Linked DNA regions of Alligator mississippiensis. The protein of the gene in region 2 interacts with the protein of the main gene of each other region in a biochemical or structural test. Links are inferred from orthologs where the notes say so. Each region holds a gene or a part of one and is shown on either strand. Other genes may lie near its edges. The genes, in order: MEF2D and CABIN1.

What was found.
Region 1: the proteins of CABIN1 (region 2) and MEF2D form a complex in vitro, tested with the Homo sapiens proteins (2 studies listed by BioGRID). The link is inferred for Alligator mississippiensis from reciprocal best matches to the Homo sapiens genes CABIN1 and MEF2D.

The regions. Positions count from the first base shown.
Region 1 is NC_081838.1:17,120,980-17,131,220, forward strand, and holds the start of MEF2D (myocyte-specific enhancer factor 2D), read right to left. Parts: upstream 4,685-10,241; 5' UTR 4,564-4,684; intron 1-4,563. UniProt on the Homo sapiens protein: Transcriptional activator which binds specifically to the MEF2 element, 5'-YTA[AT](4)TAR-3', found in numerous muscle-specific, growth factor- and stress-induced genes.
Region 2 is NC_081833.1:18,632,032-18,642,881, forward strand, and holds the start of CABIN1 (calcineurin-binding protein cabin-1), read left to right. Parts: upstream 1-6,663; 5' UTR 6,664-6,950; coding exon 6,951-6,974; intron 6,975-10,850. UniProt on the Homo sapiens protein: May be required for replication-independent chromatin assembly. May serve as a negative regulator of T-cell receptor (TCR) signaling via inhibition of calcineurin. Inhibition of activated calcineurin is dependent on both PKC and calcium signals.

The DNA.
Region 1 (10,241 bases), on a different chromosome or scaffold from region 2:
AGGGGGGGAGGGGTAAGCCTCCCACCACCCTCCACATGCACAGCCCCGTGGGAAATCACTGCAAAGGATTATGGACCGATTGCTATTTGCAGTGCAGCTCGGCTAGATGCCAGAGTGCCCGGCGCTGTGTAAAAGTCAAACCGCCAAGTTGTGCCTCTTCCAATGAGCATTGTGGAATACCTGGCAGGGAATTGTGAGAATCTGGTCAAATCTGGCCAGTAATTAAAACTTCCCAGTTCAAACCAGATGGGAGACAGATCATCCCCTTGCATCCTACATGCCCCTCTCTACAATGTTTAGCCCTGGCCCAACCCCCAGAATCAAGAGACTGGAACATATTTCTCAGGACTCTTTGCAGAAACTTTCCACTGTGCAAGGGGGAGGGAAGAAACCCAAAGAAAAGCTGCAAACCTAGAGAAACGCAAAGGGAAGATGGAGCCCTTGAGGCTGGAGCAGAGGATTGGCATCAACGGCACTGGGAGGGCCGGGCCGCTGAAAGATGACAGACAGCGACTGGCAGATCCATCTTACCAGGAACACAGCAAACCGCGGCTCAAACATGCTTAAGAAGGAGGCTGAGGGGTCTCCCAAACATGGACAAATGTGGAGAAGATTAGCCTGTTTAAAAACCCTTTTGTAATTGCTTGACAAAAACCCAAAACAATCTGAAGCGAGTGCCAGACCCAGCATCAAATCCATATCCATGCCTTCAGCCCTGCCTAGCTTAGGAGGATTGGAGTAGCCACAATGCCCAAAGGCTCCAGCCAAGACAAGGACTGGGCAATGCCCAAAGCCTCTGCACTCGCTCTGATGTCACTTGGCTGGTCTTCGAACCACTGGAGCAGGAATTTGGGGTAGGTCTGCGAGGCCCGATCTCACTAAGAAGCTCCCATGACAGACACGGGAGGCGAAATCTGAAGGACAAGGCAGCGCGTCGTTCCCTTGACCTACTTACTTCTGCAAAAACCCTTTGGCTCTACTGTAGTCTCTACCTCAACCTGGTAGCTCCTGAGGAAGCCACAAAAGGCCTCGTCTTTGCTCGGACTTCACCTCCTTCCTCCCTAGCAGAGATGCAGCTCTGGCCAGAAACCTCCTGCCCAGATTCACGTGCCTGGAGAACAACGGACTCCGCTGACAGCATCAGGCCCTGAGCCTACACCCAAAGCACCTGCCCAGAGACAACCCTTGGCTGTGGTTAGCCGGGGCCAACCATCCAGATGCTTTCCATCCTCCCGGTATGAAGTGACATGGCCAAGGATCATGTGCCAGGTCCACCGCAGATCCATGATGAGAAGAACCCATGTGTCCTGGGGCCCAGTCCAAGCCAACAGAAGCTGACCCAGGAATATACTAATTTTCACTTTAAAGATTCTTCCCTTAATTTAAGAGAGGGGCACACCTAGGAAAAGAAACTGGAACTTTTTCCAATGACATCTTGTTGAAAGCAAGATGGGATTCATTCAGATCTTTTTACATGTGCCCAGTTCCTCCCTCCTCCCCGGCAATGAGTGATGTTAGGACTAACACAAAGGACACACCTATTCAGTGTGGATGTGGCTAGGATGGTCTAAAAGGGTTTATCTCAGTGGAGCTTATCCCATGCCGGGAAGCAAACCCCAGGTCCACCTTAGGTGCATGTTACCAGTAGAATACCTATGTATTAAACCAACTCGGGACTCCTAGCATGCACACAAAGCCATGAGATATACCATTTCAGCCAACCCCATGAGACATGGATTTGGTAGTAGAACCGTGTCTATGCTGAGCCACCCAGCTAGCACCTCTTGTGATAGTCAGACCGCTATCCCAGCATCCCCACTTAAGCTTTTACTGCTAGCAAAAACCACCCCCTAAGCCTAACCACAAGTTATACTGGTAGTCCTTTGCAGTCCAGAGCAAACCTAAGTGAGGCAACCAAGGCCACTCGGGGAGTCTGTGGCAGAGGCAGGTATAGATCCAAATCTCCCGAATCCCCATGGAGTGCCTTAATCTCGCACCTCTATGGATTGTGTCCAGACAGCAGGTGACCTGTGCAGATGCCGCAAGCTGCCACAGCACAAGAAAAGAACCGATACGCGAGTCGTCATATTACAGAGAGATTCACCTGAGACTCCAGGCCTCACCCTCGTCCCACTAAGGGGTCTTCCCCTTGCTCCAGCAGTAACAGACCTTACACATCAAGACTCCTTTATGCTACTAGAGTTGCGTAAAAGGTCCCCATGGGTACCCCCCTGCCCAATTCACTGGGACACTGAATAGCATCCGTTTATGGCACTTCTGAGACCATCTCCTACCTCGGCTTCGCTCATTTAGTAAAGGACAATAAAGTCCCTGGCTCTCACATGGCTCCTTTGCTTGCCATCCCTTGGGCAGGTCAGTGCCCATAACCCCACTGTATTGTTTTGAGGGGGAAATGGAGGCATGAAGCAGCAAAGTGACTTGCCTGAGGCCATTCTGCAGGGCAGCGGCAGGGGCAGTGTGAGCGCTCTCCCTGGGGGCTCACACTGCCAGGTCCTCTCAAAGCAACTATGGGAACTCAAGCAAAGAGGAGCTGAAAGCTTGTGCTGGAGAGTGATGGTTGATCCCCGAGAACAACCCTGCGGGTCCCTGGCCCTGCTCCGAACCCTACCCTGGGGCAGCTTTCACTTGTTCACCAAAGGTATCGATCCTTCCTGCAGCTATGCCCACCAGCGCAAATGTACCAGACAACCACAGCAAAGGAGTACCTCCTCTACCCCCTCTTCTACTGTGCTCAGAGCAAAGCACTGTGCAGAACAGAGGCCCCAAGCCCTGCGCCAAACACAGGCCAAAGAAAGAACTGCCAGCTCCAGCGCCTGGAGAGAGAAGAAACGGATTATGGACTGGTCTACACCATGCCAAGCAGCAGCTCGTTAGCTATCCCAGTATGGCAAAAGGGGTATGACTTCGCCTCGTGTGGACCCACTGCCGCAGAAATGTGCTGGCCGCTGTCCCCATGCAAACAGGGGAATAAATTGACTTTCGACGTTAGTGCAAAAAATTATCTGAATGAGACTAGTGCCCCTGGATGCCTGCTTTATGCCAGGACAAGGTCTGGGTGGGCAGACCAGGCCTTGCCATGCTGGTAGGGCAGGAGGTGCTCAGAAATTAGGGACTATCTAATGAAAAACTGGGGGCTTTTAAAGGGCTTTTCCTCTGCTGGCTGCCAGCGACCCGTGCCCCTCACCCTGCCCAGCTGACCCAACAGGTAGAGGGAAGTACAGACCACCACGGCCCCACATGACAACTGTGTGACAGCTGGACAGAGGGCAGAAAGTAAACAGCATCTTGCAGCTGACCCCAGGCTTTTCTCAGCGCCGTGTGGGACACAGAAAGGACAAGTGTGTGTGTGTGCACATGGGTATGCAAGAAGAAAGACCACCTGCAAGCTAGGGGCAAGCTATCAGAGCTCTCCTGCATCGTGGATAAAGAGCCAAGCCCTGATCCCCTTCCAGATCCCACTTTCCTACCACCTGTGATGGGGTTGCACCCTCCCAGATGCACAAAAACACCTCCGGTCTCCTTGCCAGGCAGATGCCATGACCCCATGCTTGCCTGCACCCCGACATGGAGCCAGGGACAGCGGCCGCAGCCCCCACGCCCTCAGGGGTCCATGCCCTTCAGTCGGGCACCACCATCGCCCAGCTGCTGTCAAGCAGAAGTGTCTCCTTCCCCCCCCAACCACCAGCCTTCAGCGACATTTCCACCGGAGAGGAACAAACAATCGCAGCTGTCAGTTCCCCGCGCAGGCAGGCGGCCAAGGCATTGAAGCGCCTGGACCCTATTTACCACCGGCCCTCCGAAAAGCTGCTGTTGCCAATCAAACGCTGGCCCCCTCGGCCCCCGCCCCATGCCCCACATACCGGGCACGGCTCTTCCTGACACACGGGGGGACCCTGCCGGCCCAGCCCAGCCCCTTGTGCCCAGGGCTGCTCCACCGCACCCCCACGAAGCCACCCCCCCATGCCTTGCTCTGGAGCCGCCCCTAGAAACAGCTGCAGCGAGCGGTGCCCAGCTCCAGGGCACCCAGCACCCCCTTTCCTCCCCCCGCCACCCGCCGGAGGCCACTCTCCCCCCCAGGACGGATCCTCCTTCACCTCTGCACCATTTTGGAGCCCGCAGTTAAATGTCAGCCTCCAAAGTGCCTCCCGTCACCCTCAGCAACAACCTCAGCTGTCAACCAACCCCCCCCCCCACCACCACCACCACCACCACCACAACCGCCCTCCCCCAAACAACAGGCGAACAACATGGGTGAGCACCCTGGAGCCCCTCTGGCGGCTGCCCCCGCACCCTCAAACACCCTCCCCACCTTGCTTTCCACCATATTTTTGCCCCTACTGGCAGCTTGTGGCTGGGGGTGGCAGGACCCTGCGGCCCCCCCCACCCCACTATTTGCCTTGCCCCCCCCATGGCCCCAGGCCTGCCCCCCCCCCAGCTGCCTTCACCTCTGCACCATCTTGGCTTGTTTTGGAGAGGGAGCAACCCCCCCCATGGACCCCTGCACCCCCCCTCCCCATCCCCCCGCCCCGCGCAGCCCCTCACCTCCGCCCGGCCTGGGGGTCCCGGCCCCGCTTCCTCCCGCCGCTACACTGTAACTCCGCCGGGCACAGACACAACGTAGCGCCAGGCGCAGCCTCCGCGCTGACGGGCGGCGCCGCCGACCAATGGCGGGGCGGGGCGCGGGGGCGGGAACATGGGCCACCCCCCCCCCCCCCCAGCTTGGTGCGGCGCGGCCCGGATCCTTCCGCCGCCGGGGGGGGGGTTCGGGATGGCTGGGTGCCCTCCAGGGGGTGGGAGGGGCTAGTGGTTAGAGCTGGGGGGGGGCCACCTGGGTTCTCTCCCAGGCTGGGGGAGGGACTAATGGTTAGAGCTGGGGGGGCAGAGACCCCTCCACCCTGGGGTGAGGCGGGGCAGGACACCTGGGTGCCCTCCAGGGGGTGGGAGGGACTAATGGTTAGAGCTGGGGGGGCAGAGACCCCTCCACCCTGGGGTGAGGCGGGGCAGGACACCTGGGTGCCCTCCAGGGGGTGGGAGGGACTAATGGTTAGAGCTGGGGGGGAGCAGAGACCCCCCCCACCCTGGGGTGAGGGGGGCAGGATGCCTGGGTGCCCTCCAGGGGGTGGGAGGGGCTAGTGGTTAGAGCTGGGGGGGGCAGGGACCCCCCCCCACCCTGGGGTGAGGGGGGCAGGACGCCTGGGTGCCCTCCAGGGGTTGGGAGGGGCTAGTGGTTAGAGCTGGGGGGGCAGGGACCCCCCCACCCTGGGGTGAGGGGGGCAGGATGCCTGGGTGCCCTCCAGGGGGTGGGAGGGGCTAGTGGTTAGAGCTGGGGGGGTGAGGGCACCTGGGTTCTCTGCCAAGTTGCGAAGGTCCCTTGGGACCCGGGTTGGAGGCAGCCCGGGTCAGGACGCCTGGGCTCCCTTCCTGGGGGTGGGAGGGGCTTTGAGGACTAGTGTTTAGAGCAGAGGACAGGAAGGTCAGGACTCCTGGTGCCAGGTGGGCCTCTCCGGGCTAGTGGTTAGAGCTCAGGAGCGGGAGGTCCGGACACCTGGGTTTGAACCCAGGCTGGGGGAGGGCTGTCTCGTCTAGTGGTTAGAGGCCGCCCACACCAGGACGCCTGGGTTCCTGCTGGTGGGAGGGGTGGTTTTCTTTCCTCTAGCGCGTCGAGTTGGCCTGTGGCAGGACGCCTGGGTTCTCTCCCCGGGGGTGGGAGTGTTTGAGCTGGTGTTTACAGCCAGGCGAGGAGGGCCTGGGTTCCCTTCCTGGTGCTGGGAGGGGCACTCAGTCCAGTGGTTCAGGCCAGGACACCTGGGTTCCGTTCAAGGCCCTTGCCGTAGCCGGGTGCCAGGGAAAGCCAGTGTCATTTGTCTGGCAGCGCCCCAGGACGCACATGGGGCGGGACTCGCTAAACCCAGGAGACGAGAGGGCAGGTGCAATCAGATCCTGTGTCACAGTGGCAGCACAGACCAGAGCAAATGGACTGGACCAAGGTCCTACGGAGAGTCAGTGACAGCCGAATCCACAGCTGCTCCAGCCCTGCAGCCTTCCATTTCACCACGCTGTGCCTCAGTTGCCCCCCACCCCATCTGTGCCTCACCGGGTGCAGAGACTTTGAAGGAGTGTATCCCACACTCAGGGATTCGGTATCGCTGTTTGGGGAGTAACTTCGGCTACCCAGGTGAGACACCCCTCTAACCACGAAGTCAGACCCCCCTCCCACAACCAAGGAGAGAGCCCGGGACTCCTGACTTCCCTGCCCCCAGCCATAACCACGTGCAGTCAGCAGGTAGGGCCACAGACTGGCAGCAAATACCAGCCAAGTCATGCCAAGGTCAAGTGGCAAAGGGAGCCATCGGGGACAAGCCAGGGCAGCCTGAGACCCCCAAAGACCTCCTTGCTGTTCCCTGCCACCAGTCCCTCCATGCCCACAGGCCCCGCTGTGAAGCCTCAAGAGCCTGGCAGAGACCAGGGTGACCTGTAAGCACATGGGCTCCAATCCAGGATCAGAAGTGGGACCGCGGGGCCCTGGACCCCTGAGCAAAGCCTTTAGGCAGCTTTCCCAACTGTCAAGCCAGAGCACTATCCTGGGCCTGGCAACTGTGGGTGCAGACGCTCTGCTAATCCAGTCTGACCCTAGCAAGACTGGAACAAAGGTTACGCCATGAACGCCCACGCAGTCTCAGGGCACAGTCAATCCTGCATGCCCGATCCCTGCCCTAGTTGTTTTCCTACCTGCCCTGATGTCTGAGCCTCTCTCCACCAGCCTCACATCCTCCTGGAGCTTCATACCGGATAAATGATGCTGTGGCTTGCCCTCAAAAACAAATCCTGTCATGTCATGGTTCTGACTGCAGCATCCCACCCCCTACATAGACCTAGGACAGATGCTCCAAGCCCGGGACAGATGCTCCCAGCTTCCACAGCTGGGATGAGCAGCTCAGGGTTGCAATCAGAGCAGACGAAGTGCAGCTTGCCAGAGTTTGCAGAGAGCCTGAGACAGTAGCTCCGAGAGAGGAGAACAGTGCCACAAATGCAAGCAGCAGTTCACACTCCCTGTTTGCTGCCACTGTGAGTGCACCGCATGTGCTCAAGGACCTCAAAGGCTGAATTCTCACCCTCTAGGCCATTTTGGCACCCCAAAGGGACCTTAATAAGAAGCCTCCCTGGCTAGCAGGGATCTGGCAAAGGGGGTGAGGGTTCCCTACCCTGCTCCCCCATGCCACATAGGGGACAGGGCCCTGTATTCTGGCTGTTTCCCATGCCCCTCTGGGAAAAAGCAGAAATTTTACATCAAGGGCAGAGCCAGTTTTTGAGATTCAAAACAAGGGCTTCAAAGCTCTCAAACTCCTGTTCCAGGAGAACAACTAGGAATCAGACCCTAACTAGATGTATTGGACAAAATGGGAGCAGGAACCACCAATCAAATACTGAATTATTATTATTTTTCAAGCTTATGACCTGTCCCCCCAAGCACAAAGCAAGACCCTGCAGTGCAAGGCGCTGCACAAAAATACAAGCCAAAGAGATCGCCCTACATCCCCCAAGGGCTGCAAAGGCACTAGAGCCTCAGCGTTAGCGAGAGCAGGCCTGTTCATCACAGCCAGCAGCTTCCCCAAGTACCTCGGTGCTAGCGCCAGCGGGGCGGGAAGTGGATCCACAAAGCCAGTGACTCAGGATGAGGAGGAAGAGTGTGAGCGAGTGTGTGTGCAAGGAGGCTTTACAAATGCAGGGCATGTGGGAAGAGGCTCCCGGCAGGCACGGGGAAGGTAGGCGACAAATGACACAGTGCGTGTGTGGTTCAGGAGACGGGGGTCTCGCTGCCCTTCCGATAAGTCATTTTGCTGGAGGCTCCCCAAGAACAGAAGAGAGCCTGAGACCCACAGCCTGAACCCCTCCATGCCCACCCGAAATTGGGGGGCAGTGGTTCTCCCTGTGTCCGTCCCACTCTCTAACTTTGCAAGCCCCTCGGGTACCATCTCTAGCCACATGCTGGGTGCTATCAGTGCATGATGGTGCACCCAAGCACCACTGAAGAATAGCAATGACATTTGTTCCTGGAGCAGCAAGATAACAACCTACTCTTGCAGACAGGCAGCTAGCAGTTGCTTCTTCAGGTCTGTGCTAGGTTCAAGCCTTGTTAATGCCCCACAATCAGGGATGTCCCATGATTTCAATTGTCATGTCACAGCAGCAACTGCAATTGTACAGCTGCTAGCACCTCCGTCCCCCATTGCATGGCTGCAATGAATACTCTGCCCACCTGCCAGCCCCCAAAAGCACTTCTCAGCCTGTTCATTATAGGATCTCATTGCAGAAGCAGGTTCTGCACTCTCTGACTGGCCCTAAAGTTGCACATGACCATCTTTACTCACATTAGATCTTTTGCAACTCAACCAAAGAAATCCCTATTTCATATTATTTTAGGAGGCTGACCCATGGGGCCTGTGTGAAGCCAGGCAGGCCAATGCCGCACCCTTATTGGGGTCAGATCCGTGTCACCCCCATCCCGCGTGATGTCACCACGCCACTTCCTGGCGGACTTCTGTTTGTTTGGCTTCAGGTCTTTTTGTTTCGGGTTATTTATTCCATTATTATTATTACTGTTGTAATAACGGGGGCTATTTTTAGCGCCCACTTCGTTTATAGGGAGCTAGAATTAGTCATCGCACTAAGCTGTTTGCCATCTATCCAGGAGGGTGGATTTTCCCGGGTCTGGTTTCCAATCAGCTGCAATTGTGCAACAACAATAAAATAAATAGATAACCCCCCTGTTCCAGGAGACCCCGGTGTGTCGCTTGTGTAAGAGGAGTTTTGTTGCCTTTCTTCAGAGTTTCCCCCCCCTTCCCCCCACCCGTGACCACCCTGAATGAAGGATCAGACCCGGGTATCAGCCCTGGAATGTGGTTGTGAAGCCTGGAATATTTTGGAAAGTGAGTGCAAGCTGCAATTTTTCCCTTGGGAACCAAGTGCTGAGTAACTCTCTTCCCACACCCCAGTGCAAGGCAGAGCTCTGTACACAGGCAAATGACCCTGGAAATGGCCTTCCACTGTCCTAGGCCAGTGGGGAAGGAGCAGGACTCCTGGGTCCTCAAGCATGCACACAGCCCCTGTGCATGCAACTCAGGCTAGAAACAAAAATGAGGGAGAAAAATACATACACATACAATGTATGTGTACAAAATTATATACATATATACACACAATGTGTGCGTGTGTGTATATTTATACACACACATACAATGTACACATACATACATTATGTGTGTACATGTGTGTGCATGCATCTATCTATATATATATATATCAATATACACACACATACAGTATATATATATAATACTATACTAGATATATAATATATATACACATATTAGGTCGTAAGCTGGCATGAATCCATGGAGCTCCACTGAAGTCAAGGTTAAGCAGCATGATTTGGGGACCTCACCCTAAAGGTAATTAAATATATATGTGTGTGTGTGGGTGGCCATATGTGGTTATATATATACACATACATACACACATATAATTTCACTACCATTAGGGTGAGGTCCCCAAATCATGTCACCTAACCTTCAGTGCCACTCCTTCAGTACCGCTGTATGGATTCAGGCCAGCTGAAGACCTGTACCCAGCTAGGAAGAGCCTGCTGGCATTGACCATTTCCCCCATCCCCTTGTAATAGAAGTTGGAGCAGCTTCGTGGCTGCTCCGATTGACATGGCCTCCTTATTACACAAGGGCTGGTGCTGGGGTGGAGGGAGACACTGGGGCTGCTTGGCCAGCCACCCGCCAGCCCCAAGCACCAGAGGGGTTGTGGAGAGGGCTACGTCCACCCCTTTTAGACTGCTCTGTGCTGCGGGAGCAGCTCAGAGGGGCCTCACTGTCCCTGGGAACGAGGTCTCAGCATGGAAAATAGCAACCTACTTCTGTTACCAGAGCAACCGGTGCCCATCGGAGGGTGCAAACCCAGGATGATGCCGCAGTGAATGCGCCCGCTTGCATCCCTGCCACTGGTCGGCTCTCCTTGCAGTAGGCTTTTATCCCTGGGTGCCAGGCCCTGCTGCAGCAGGGTGGGTGCCAGCAGCTGGTGGCACAGAGCCCCAAGCAGAGTGCTTCGTTCAGGCCCTGCTGATGATGCAGGGCCGGGTTAGGACAAGGGCATTTCCTTGCACTTCTTGCCTCTGGCTTGCCAGTCACTTCTGCTTATTTCCGCTGGGGTTGTTC
Region 2 (10,850 bases):
AAAAGACATTTGTTGGTGCTGCTGCACAGTATTTCCAGTTATTGTGCATTTATTTGGTGCTTGCTTATACAAGTACTAGATAAATGCACAGTAACCACTAGCATCACACTAGCATCTCACATAGATGTGCCCACTAATTACTTGTAGTGTCGATGTTTTTCTCCTTAAGCCCAGGGCTCTACTGCTTTTACCCTAATGTCCATTTCTCCAAATAGGGAGAAATGTTCCCTGGGACCATTCAGTTAATCACTTAACTGGATCATACATGATATATTAAATCTGAAAAACCCTAATTTTCATGTGCAGTATTTCCTTAATTTCGCATTTCACTCAACTGGGATAATAAAAATGGACATGTTAAATTAACTTTCATTTATAGTCACTTTCAAAGGTCTCAGTCCTGCAAACTCTTAGGTATGTGCATTGTTGCACTGAAATCAGTGAAGCTGCTGAGGGACATAAGTAGTAAGTGGTTGCAGGATCAGTCTTAGTCATTCTCTTAGAATCATTCACAGTCTTAGCATTTTTGCCAACATTGAGTTACATATAAAACAGATACTAAATTTATTGTTCATCACTCATAGAATCCTTTTTAATTGTATGCACAATCCAGAATCTGGATGTGAAGAGCACTAGAAGCTTCCCCTTTCATGTACAGAAAAAGTGAATTTGGTTTTACTTGTTAATATTTAAAAGTGCAAGAAAACTCTCTTCCATCGTTTCAAAACCCCTGTGCGCTAAATAAAATAGCAAATGCAGGTTTAATAGGTCTGGGGCTTATCTGATCAATACAATGTTTCAAGGAACGTTGTTAGTGAATTAACTGAGTTATAACAATGCTCTTGCCTCCTCGCTGTCATTCTCTTTCAGCCTTTCCAACTTTGGGAGACATGAGTGTCTATGTAGTTCCTCAGGAGGGCTCTTCAATTAAATTTAAAACTTGCATACTCCAATAATTCTGTAGCACTGCACATGATAGCTATAACCTTCCCAGTTGCTATGGAGGGGGACAGCCCTGTCCATGCCTTATGAGGGATGAACAAATTGTAACAAGCTGAGAACATTTTTTTTTTTTTTTTACTGACCCTCAGTTTTGATTCTGGTTTGCAAAGCAGTCTCTAGGAACTGCCCTGCTTCATGGGAGGACAAATGGGGATGCATGACAACAGTCCTGAATTTTCTAAGGGTCATTCCTGTTTTTCTGTCATATCACAGGTCAGTTGCTGGGCCCTATTGGCTTCCCACTGCTACTCATCTTTAGACACTTTCTCTTTCCCTACTGATTTTGTAGCTCCCCATTTGTAGCTTTCTGTCTGCAGCATTGTACTGCCATGACAAAACATCCCATAGTTAAGCAAAATCAGAGTGGAAGAGCTGGATCAAGAAACTTGCTGAGACCAAGCTTTCTAATTTATGGACTTTGCATATTTTGTAAGAGGGTAGTTAGAAAATTCATCTGAAGTGTGTGAGAGTTGGGGGTGGATTGTTTTTTCCTCTTGACCCGAGTACGTGCCATTTATTTGACTTTGGGAAGAGGTAGGGAGGTCACAGTTGACAACTATTAAATCACTGTCCTCTCCTGCTTTGTAAACAACTAGGGCTGAATATACTCCATGTTCATGTTAGCGCAAGAAAATGACCACTAGCTTCTTTAGAGAAGGATACTGTCATTTGTTTTTTAGTACTTGAGAAGAACACTCACAGGAAAGTCAAACTGAAATTACAGCACCTTGTTGCAGCATATAGAAAAACCAAGGGAAGCTGGACATGGTTCTTTGGGTAAACCCAATATCTTTTATTAATAGTAAAACCAATATCTTTTATTAATAGTTGGTCTAATAAAAAAAAAAAAACCAACAGATTTACCCAAAGAACCTTGTCTGCCTATTGTGACTGGGGCAAGCTTTCATGCTCAGTGCAAGCACCGGTCTGCCCCATGTCTAGAGGTCAGCTACCCACCTCACTTGTCTGCCATGCCTTGATGTAATAATATTGATGTGAGAATTAGGCAGGAGGCTGTCCATGATACACCCCAATATTGGGGGGGCTGTCCACGGCTCCATTCAACCCCTACACCGCTGCCCAAGCCTCGCAGATAGCATCTCAGGCAGCCAACTCAACCGCCCCCTTTGCTCATTAGCTGTGGCCCCTTCCCTGGCACCATCGGCTTCCCTTTAAGCCCTGGCCCCATCTCAGGCCAGTCGGGACCCCGAGCTTCTTTGCTCTATATGGGCATCCCTCACAGTGGGCCCCTGGTCCTTTTGACTCCTATCTGGGTCCTGGCCCCAGCATTGACCAGTCAGGTCCCTTGGGTTAGGTCTAAGCCTCCTGCCTGCACTCAGAGATCAGGGTCCCCCATTCCCTCAGGTGCTTCACAAAGTATGCCTGGCCCCATGGGGTCACTCACCCCAGCAGTCTCAGGCACTTCAAGAAGCTTATCTGGCCTTCCCTGGATTAGATGGTTCATATAACCCACCTGAGGATGAGGGCTGGGGTTAAGGTGCCCCTACCCACATTTCACCAGGGTGGTAACTGGCTTGGCATTTTTCTGGAGTTCCCACACCACTGGGAGCCCCACCAGACCACCCACTCCTGGAAGGGTGCAGTTTTAGGTCATACGCTAGGAGCAGGAGGCTCTGGTCCATCTGCAAGATGTTCCCATGCAGCAGCTCAGCCAGGTGATGTTTCTCACCTGCCCCAGCAGCAGGCTGCTCTTGTTTATAAAGGCAGCCAGAGTCCTAAAATGGCCACCAAAATCAAACAGCTGCAGGCACCACCAAGTGCCCCGCCACACCTATGTCCTTCGACCAACACGGCTACAACCTACACCCCTGAAACAAGGAACCTGGAAACATTTTCTTCTTTCCTGTAACATTTCTAAAGATTTGTTACTCTAGAAACAGCAAATATCCCAGGTAGGCCTATACCTGAAAAGGAATTATTCAGACTGCTCCCATATACCACCTCCAATTTGTTCAGCTGGCCTTAGAAAGTGACTGCCTAGCATTTGATCCTCCCTACTTGTCAGCAAGAGGAGATTTTTTTTTTATTTTTTTTTTACAGTTCCTAAACATTCAGATCTTGAAGGATCAGCTACTCATTGAGCTGAGCCAATGTTTCTAAGTGTCCGTGATTTCTATTTATTTTTCAAGATCTCAGGACAGATGTGTTTGCAAATCCAAATGCACTTACCTTTACTAGACTGTGTTAGATGGGTCATGGTGTGTGTATACATATAATACAGAAGACTTTCTTTTATTCTAAGTCTTGGGGACAAGGACTGTTCTTCCTATGTATTTACACAGCAACCAACACAAGAGAGCTGATCAAGCTTAAGGACAGCACTAGAATTCAAATATGAAATAATAATGATTCTTTTTGAAGTTATGCTGCCAGAAGTATAGAGAATCTGCTGTAATATTTATGCATACCCAAGCAGTTCTTAGGTTATATGGAGTGTATGTACTGGGGCTTATCTTTCCTTCTAAGTCTGAAGTTAAAGTTTATTTTTAAGTAATGTGTACATTGGAGATCAAGAGTATTTCTCCTTATACCACTTAGGTTGAGAGAGATGGCTGTAGCATAAGTGGTGTGGCTGCAGAGTGATTAAAGGCTCTTTAGATTTAATCAAGTACAATACTTACAAAATCTTCCTTCAAAAAATTCCTGCTAGCTTGAGTTGAAGCACCCTTGCTATCTCTCCTGCATCCAAAACTGGACCTAACCCTGAGGGGTTTCTGTAGCACAGTTTCCTGCATAGTTCCCCTCTCCCATCTTCTGTCACAGACCACACATGACTGAGACAATATTTCAACCTCTGTGCTGTTGCTAGAATCTGCTGCTAGTTGCTAACATGGATACAGTTATAACAACTTGATACTCATTACTCCATGAGGAACGAGAGTATCATCTTATTTCACATACTTCAGCAAATAACTATCAGATATCTTCTAATCACCCTTTAGATTATTTTATCATAAAAGAATCACTTACTTTAGTTTTATTGAATGTATTTAATAACCAGCAACAAAAATGGCACTGAGGGAAGGTCTTTTTTGAAAGAGATCAAAGATCCAAGGCCAAAACATGACTGAAGCTTTGATCTGTATGTTTCAGATGCCATTAGGCACTTGACTAGAAAGAGCTCTTGTGTAATACGCAAGTTACAATATGCCTTCTAGTGGTACTTACTTCAAATTGATTTTAAAATCTTGACTGAAGTAAGAGGAAGGCCCTCTGGCTTATTACAAGACATTCACATAGTGATATAAAACTACACAATACTATGTGCACATAAAATAAGAGTTCATCATCACTGCATTCTTAGTTTGAGGCATAATGTTGTCCCTAACCTCTCTCATTCCCACACAAAAATCTTTGTTTTGAGAGTGCTTTAAACTCAAACTGACTGGCCTGTCAGAAGACGTGAGTTTGAGACTCCAGTGTTGCTGATGCTTTAGCTGGTAATGCAGTGAAGATGTAGTTACAGACTGCAGCATGAATTAGCACACCTTGTTCGGGGCTAATTCAATCACACTGTTCAGCTAATCAAATCCTTGTATAGTTCAGTCCTGTTTCCCGGAGACTATGTTTTCTCAAGCTAGGCAGCCTCTGGTGGAGTAACCTGAATGCAGTAACTTATGTTTCAGTGGTAATACCTATTTCTTGCCTGTAGGGGGAAATAGGTTGCTGTATGCAAGAAAGCCTGAAATGTTTTCCTTTACATTTGATTTTAATGTTGCTTGTTTTTTACATTGGAAATTGGAGTCTTATCTACATTGGAAGACTTGTGGTGACAGGGGAACTAGCAGAACACCATCATAAGAACTAAAAGATGGTGAAAACTGAGCAATTTGGAGAGAAGGATTTTTTAGTGAAACTGTTAAAATCTGTTACTTTTGTTAATACCTCAACTTAGAAAATAAACATTTTTGCTAAAAATTCAATCGCTCTTTGAAATAAGGTGTGAATACATACAATAAACAGTGGCATAATATTTCTGGGAAAAAGTGAAGCTTCTCTGTGAAGGTTAAGGATTGAGAAAGAGGGAAGGTGAGAAGGATCAGGAAGAAAGACGATAAAGTTTGGCGTTTGAGAGAGAGGTTTTCTGATGAAGTTGGACCTTTATGAAGAGTTCAGAAAAGACTAGGCAGAGGAGAGAGTGCTGAGGTAGAGCACTGCAGCAAGGCTGTAGGTGAAGCCAGGAGGAACAAAGTCACAGAGATGGACCATGAGAGGGGCTAGGTAACAAGGGAATGGTACCAAGAGTATGGGAGCTTGATGGTCCCTGTCAGGAAAAGAAAGAAGCCCTGATGCCAGGACACCCAGCAAGACATGGTGACAGGCTGATGCCAAGGCAATACCCTGGACCAGGTGGCATGTCCTGGTGCCCTAACATCCTGTGAACAGGCGCATCTTGAGCCCACGAGGCTGCATCAGTCCAGGGCGGAGCTTTGGATGCTATTGGAAATCTGATTCATCTACACTGGAAGATTTGTGGCGACAGGGGAACTAGCACAAGACCATCGTAAGAGCTAAAAGATGGTGAAAATGGAGCAAGCTGGAGAGAAGGATTGTTTAGTGAAACTGCTAATGTTTTTGTGAACACCTCTTTCACTTAGAAAATAAACTTTTTTTTGCTAAAAATTCAGCAACTCTAAAATGAGATGTGGATGAATACTATAACCCAGGGGTGGACAAAATGTAGCCCGGGGGCCGGATGCAGCCTGCCAGGCCATTCTATCCGGCCGGCCTGCGGGGCCCCTAAAAAATTTAGAAAATATTTAACTGCCCTGGGCTGCCAGTTACGTGGCCCTCGAGGGCTTGCCAAAACTCAGTAAGCAGCCCTTTGCCCAAAATAATTGCCCACCCCTGATATAACTAGTATCAGGCATCCAGGTTGTAGCTGTATGGTCTAGAGGCCAAAGGAATCAGGACGAGTGGTCGAGGTGATATCTTTTATTAGACCAACTAGATTTTTGCAAAGAATTTGTTTTGTTTTTTGCAAAAATCTAGTGGATCTAATAAATGATCAGATCCTCTACCACAAGTCCAGATACTATACACAGTGGCGCACGGGGCCAGCTGAGTCTGACCCGATGGCATCGGGGTGCTGTGATGACAGCGGCGCCTCCGACACCCTCATGCACATCCCAGTGCCAGGGAGGCGCAGGGGCGAGGGGTGCAGCTGCTGGCTGCCTGCCCAGGGTGGGCTGCCACGAGCCCAAGCAGAGCACAAAGCCATTCTCTACCCACCACCACCCTGGCTCCTCCCCCTCAACTTCAAGGCCCCTCCCCTCCCGGAAGTCCCGCCTCCTGGAGCCGCGCTCAGCATCCGGCTTCTGCATTGGCTGGTTGTGGAGCTGCTGTTGAGCCAATGAGAGCGCGGGTTGTTGGTGTGCCGGGCTCTAGAGACCCTGGAGCAGGTTGCCGTGGAGACCGCAGGTGAGGTGCATCCCCCTCGGCGCGGGTGGGCCCTGACCCCCCCCCCCGTCCGAGCTGAGCCGGGCCGGAGCCCGGGGGGCGGAGGGCGGCAGCGCGGAGCGGAGCGGAGCGGCCCCGGGGGCTGCACAAAGGGCCGGGGCGTGGGGGGGGCCGGGGGCAGCATCAGGCCTCGCTCTGCCGCCCCGGGCCCCGCGTGCTGGGGGCAGCGCCGGCCCCGGGAAGCAGGAGCCTGCCTCCCGCTGCCGGGTGCTGGGCGGCCCGGCCCGGCCCGCGGCTCTGTCCTCTCCCCCACCTCCCCACCGTACTTGACCTCCCTTCCCACGAGGGGCCTGTGCCAGCTTCTCCCCGATCCCCTCTGCCAGCAGCATCCTCGTGGTGGCCGAGGAGATGCTTTCCCACCGAAACGCATTCTCTCCCATGCACGTTTGCTGGTCGGTGCCACACCTGCACGCCGCAAGCCAGCGGCTCCCCTGTTCTCAGCTGCGGACCGCGAAGCGCCACGTGAGATGTGCCTGGAGCACAAAGAGCGAGTGAGTAAACTGGATGCTCCAGCAAGCAGCTGCTTAAACTCCATTTATATTTACGATATGGTTTCGACGTGCAGGGGTGTAAAGGATTTCTACTCTGGACTCATTCAAGAAATGCTTGGATGCTTATCTTGCTGGGGTCCTTTGACCCTAGCTGACTTCCTGCCCCTGGGGCACGGGCCTGGACTTCATGATCTTCGAGGTCCCTTCCAGCCCTAAAGTCTATGAAATCTATAGATAATTTTTGTAAGGTTGGAAGGGACCTTAGTAGGTCATTGAGTCTGGGCAGAAAAGAGTGCTGGGGTCAGACAACCCCAGCTACGTGCTTGTCCAGTCTAGGATTGCCCTCTACTGTGAGGTTATGCCTAAGTATGTGGTCTGAGGGTGCCTGAGGCTTTGTCAGTACCCTCAAGTTATTGTGCTCTGTCTAAACTAGTATCACTTGTTTGCTGGTTTAGTTAGTGTAACCGTTCTCCTAACATGCATATGGTTATGCTGGCATGAATAGTTTTAAACTGGGATGGCACATTCACATAGGAAATTATACCACTGTAGTTGTGTCCAGGCTCAAGCACCTTGCTTAAATGCAGTCACACCCCCAACTGATGTGCCATCACAAATATTGAATGGAAATTAGGTGTCACGCCTGCACGGAGCAGCCCATACCTACAAGTGAACCTGCTTTGCTGTTCTCAACCTGGAACATGAACTCCATGTGAAATGTATCTGGACAAACAGGTACTAGCGTTTTAAAAAAGGGTGTGGAGCAGGTAGAGAAGGTCCAGAGGCGGGCAGCAAAAATGATAAAGGCTTGGAAGGCAAACCAAATGAGGAGAGGCCGAAGGACAAGGCATGTTCAGCTTGCAGAAAAGATGACTAAGAGGGGACATGATTGCTGTCTGTGCGTATCTGTAGGGCTGCTACAAAGAAGATTGAGAACACCTTTCTTTCTTTTGCTGCATAGATCAGGACAAGGACCAGTTGCGTGAAATTGTAGTAGAATCGGTTTAGATTGGGTATCAGGAAAAGTTGTTCACTATTAGGGAGGGTTTGGAATAGACTGCTTAAAGAAATTGTAGGGAACCTTTCCCATATGAAGTTTTCAGGAAAAGGTTGGATGGACATTGGTCAGAGATGATCTAGAAGTACCTATGCCTGTGCTATGGGTATTTCACATGCTCCCTTTCCAAGTGGGGCTGGGAAGGAATTTTTTCCCCCTCCTATTTTTACCTATATCAGGATTTTTGGGGGGTGTTTTTGCCTTCCTCAGAAGCATTGGGGTTGACTGCAGCCAAGGCTGGGGAACCTGAGTGGGGTGTACCAGTGCTCCTACTGGGACTAAACTCCAGGGTTTCCTAGGTAGAGGATCTCGCCCCTCTGGTCAGGGTCAGACAAGTTGACACATTTGGGGCCTGGATGGATTTTTGCTTCCTGGTCAGATTGGTACAGACTGGGGGGGGTTTGCCTTCCTCTGTAGTGAGGAGTGTGGCCCTCTTCCTTGGATCTCTCCAGTGTAGTTTAATCATTGAAGCAGCAGGACAATGACTGCAGTTGTCCCCCTGCTTTTGGCAGTTTAGGGTGCTATGCCTTGCAGATGTGTGGCAGGGTTGATTGTGTAGTTTGGTAATAGATTAGACAAGGAACAGTATGGAATGGTTTGCAATTAAATTAAAACTGCTGCCATCTGTAACTTTTTCTTTAGAGAGATGAGGGGTGTCTAGTGAATTATCTGCCAAGCTAAAGAGTGTTACCTTTAGCAAGTGTCTGTGGTCCTGATTGAGCCAGGTGCTTAAGCACGTACTTAAAATGAAGTGTTTGAATAAATAAGCATAAATACACACCCAGCTTTAACTAAGGTTACAGAGGATTTGAATTAAGGCTGTTGTTTGGTTAAATATTTTTTTAAGAGTTGGTGAGCATGTAGCAGAAAGCTCCCTTTTCCTCTTGCCTGCATTTGCTCTCCCCTCTTTGGATATGTTTCTCCTTTTCTACCTTTTCTTCCTTCCTCTCTCTTTCACTTTAAGATAAGGAATTGTGTTTTAAAATTTGTATGTGTGCATTTTGTATCTCCGCTTGTAGTTTGGTATTTTTATCTATTTGTGTGCCATGGCATTTGTAGTTTATATTTTATACTCCTCACCTTTCATCTTTCAACTGAATGTATTTAGTTTCATAAGTGAGTTATACATTGTAACAATGTTAACAAGGGCAGGAATCAAACTGCCCTTCCCTGTATCAGGCAGGCCCCTGAAAGCAAGTGAATCAGTGATTGAATGTGTAACATAGTAGCAGGCACCAATTAACACCTAGGAAGCTGCAGATCAACCAAGGAAGAACTCAATAGAAGACAATGTAACAACTGGGAAATCTCTAAACCTCACTGATCAAGGGCTAAAAGCCCTGGCCTGAGGTAATCAACACCAGGGACCAACTTTTGGGCTGAATATCTCCAGATCGACCACTCCCAGAGCCCTATTCAAAATTCATCAACGGACTCCCAAACCTGCACATTCATGCGAATGACCCCTGGGGCTGACAGATGCCATCCACTAGCCACCGAGGGGCGGGGGGAAGTCCCACAAGGGTCAATGACCCCTGGATTGGGCAAACCTGAAAACTGGGGAGTCACCAAAGTCTGCCAAGGACAGATAAAAAGCAGTGAAAAGTGACCCTCAGTGGCGCCCTCTTGATCTCCAACTTGACCAGACCTGTCCAGCCAGAAGGACCAGCCGGCGACCCCCTTCTGGAGGATAACACCATGCTGAAAGAAGCCTCGACTGGCCATCAATGGCAGACTCCAGCGCTTGTAGGATAGGTATACCTGACTCTGTAGCTTGCTACTCTGTGTGTGTGGGGGGGGACCAGCCCCAAGGTTTATGATTTAACTCATTACAGTGTTTCAATCCGCCTAATAAACCAGAATTTTAAGGATCCCGAGTTGGACATTTGTAGCCAACATTATTTGGTGGAGAACACAGGCATTATTCTAGGATTATTAGCAGATTGGTAATTGGGGAGACTGTCTCCAGATAGAACCCACGTCCACGGAGGTGGGTGGGCAATAGTCACCCAAGGGAGTGGGCAGACCCAAGGAGGGTCTGGATTTAGTCGTCACCCAAGGGGGTGGACATATCCCAAGGAAGGGATTTGGTTGTAGAACTGCAGGGGCAGAGTTGGTTGGGAGCGCAAGGGCTCAAGGAAACTGACAGGCTTGAGGCATGTTGAGGAAAATGTCTTTGTTTAGGAAAAAAACCCCTAAGATTGGAGCAGGAGGCCAAGAAGATAAGTGGGTACGGAGGGAGGAAATTTCCTCTCTCCATAGGGAGATTCTGAAGGGTGAACCCAGTGCATGGAGGGAGGATGTGTGCACCCCAGGCTTTTCCATAGGGGACATTGAATCCCAATTTGAAAGATTTTTGCCTTTGTGAAAAACCCTCGGTTCAAAGGCAACACAGTGCCTTGGTCTGGCTTCTGTGGCATTCTGTAACAACAGCAGTTGAGGAAAAAGCTCAGCAAGCCTCTGAAATTGAGGAAAAGGAGGAGCTAATCCAAATTCTAAAAGATAGATGTGTTCAATTGGAAACTAGTAATCAGACTCTAAAGGGGTTGTCTTGGAACTTGGAAAATGAAAATGAGCCATTGAGAAAAATAAATCAAGGCAATGCCCAACAATTAGAATTATTGGACCAAGAAAAGGCTAGCGGAGAAGCCTTGCAAAAACTGGTAAAGACAATGGCTAAAGACCAAGCCGAGAAGGGAGCCAAGGTCAACCATGGCCCCTGTCTAAATACCATTAACTGTTTAAAAAAGGAACTCCAGGAGCGCAACCTGCAAGTAGCAGCTGTTATCCAGGGAGACCAAGCCAGGGATCCAGACATC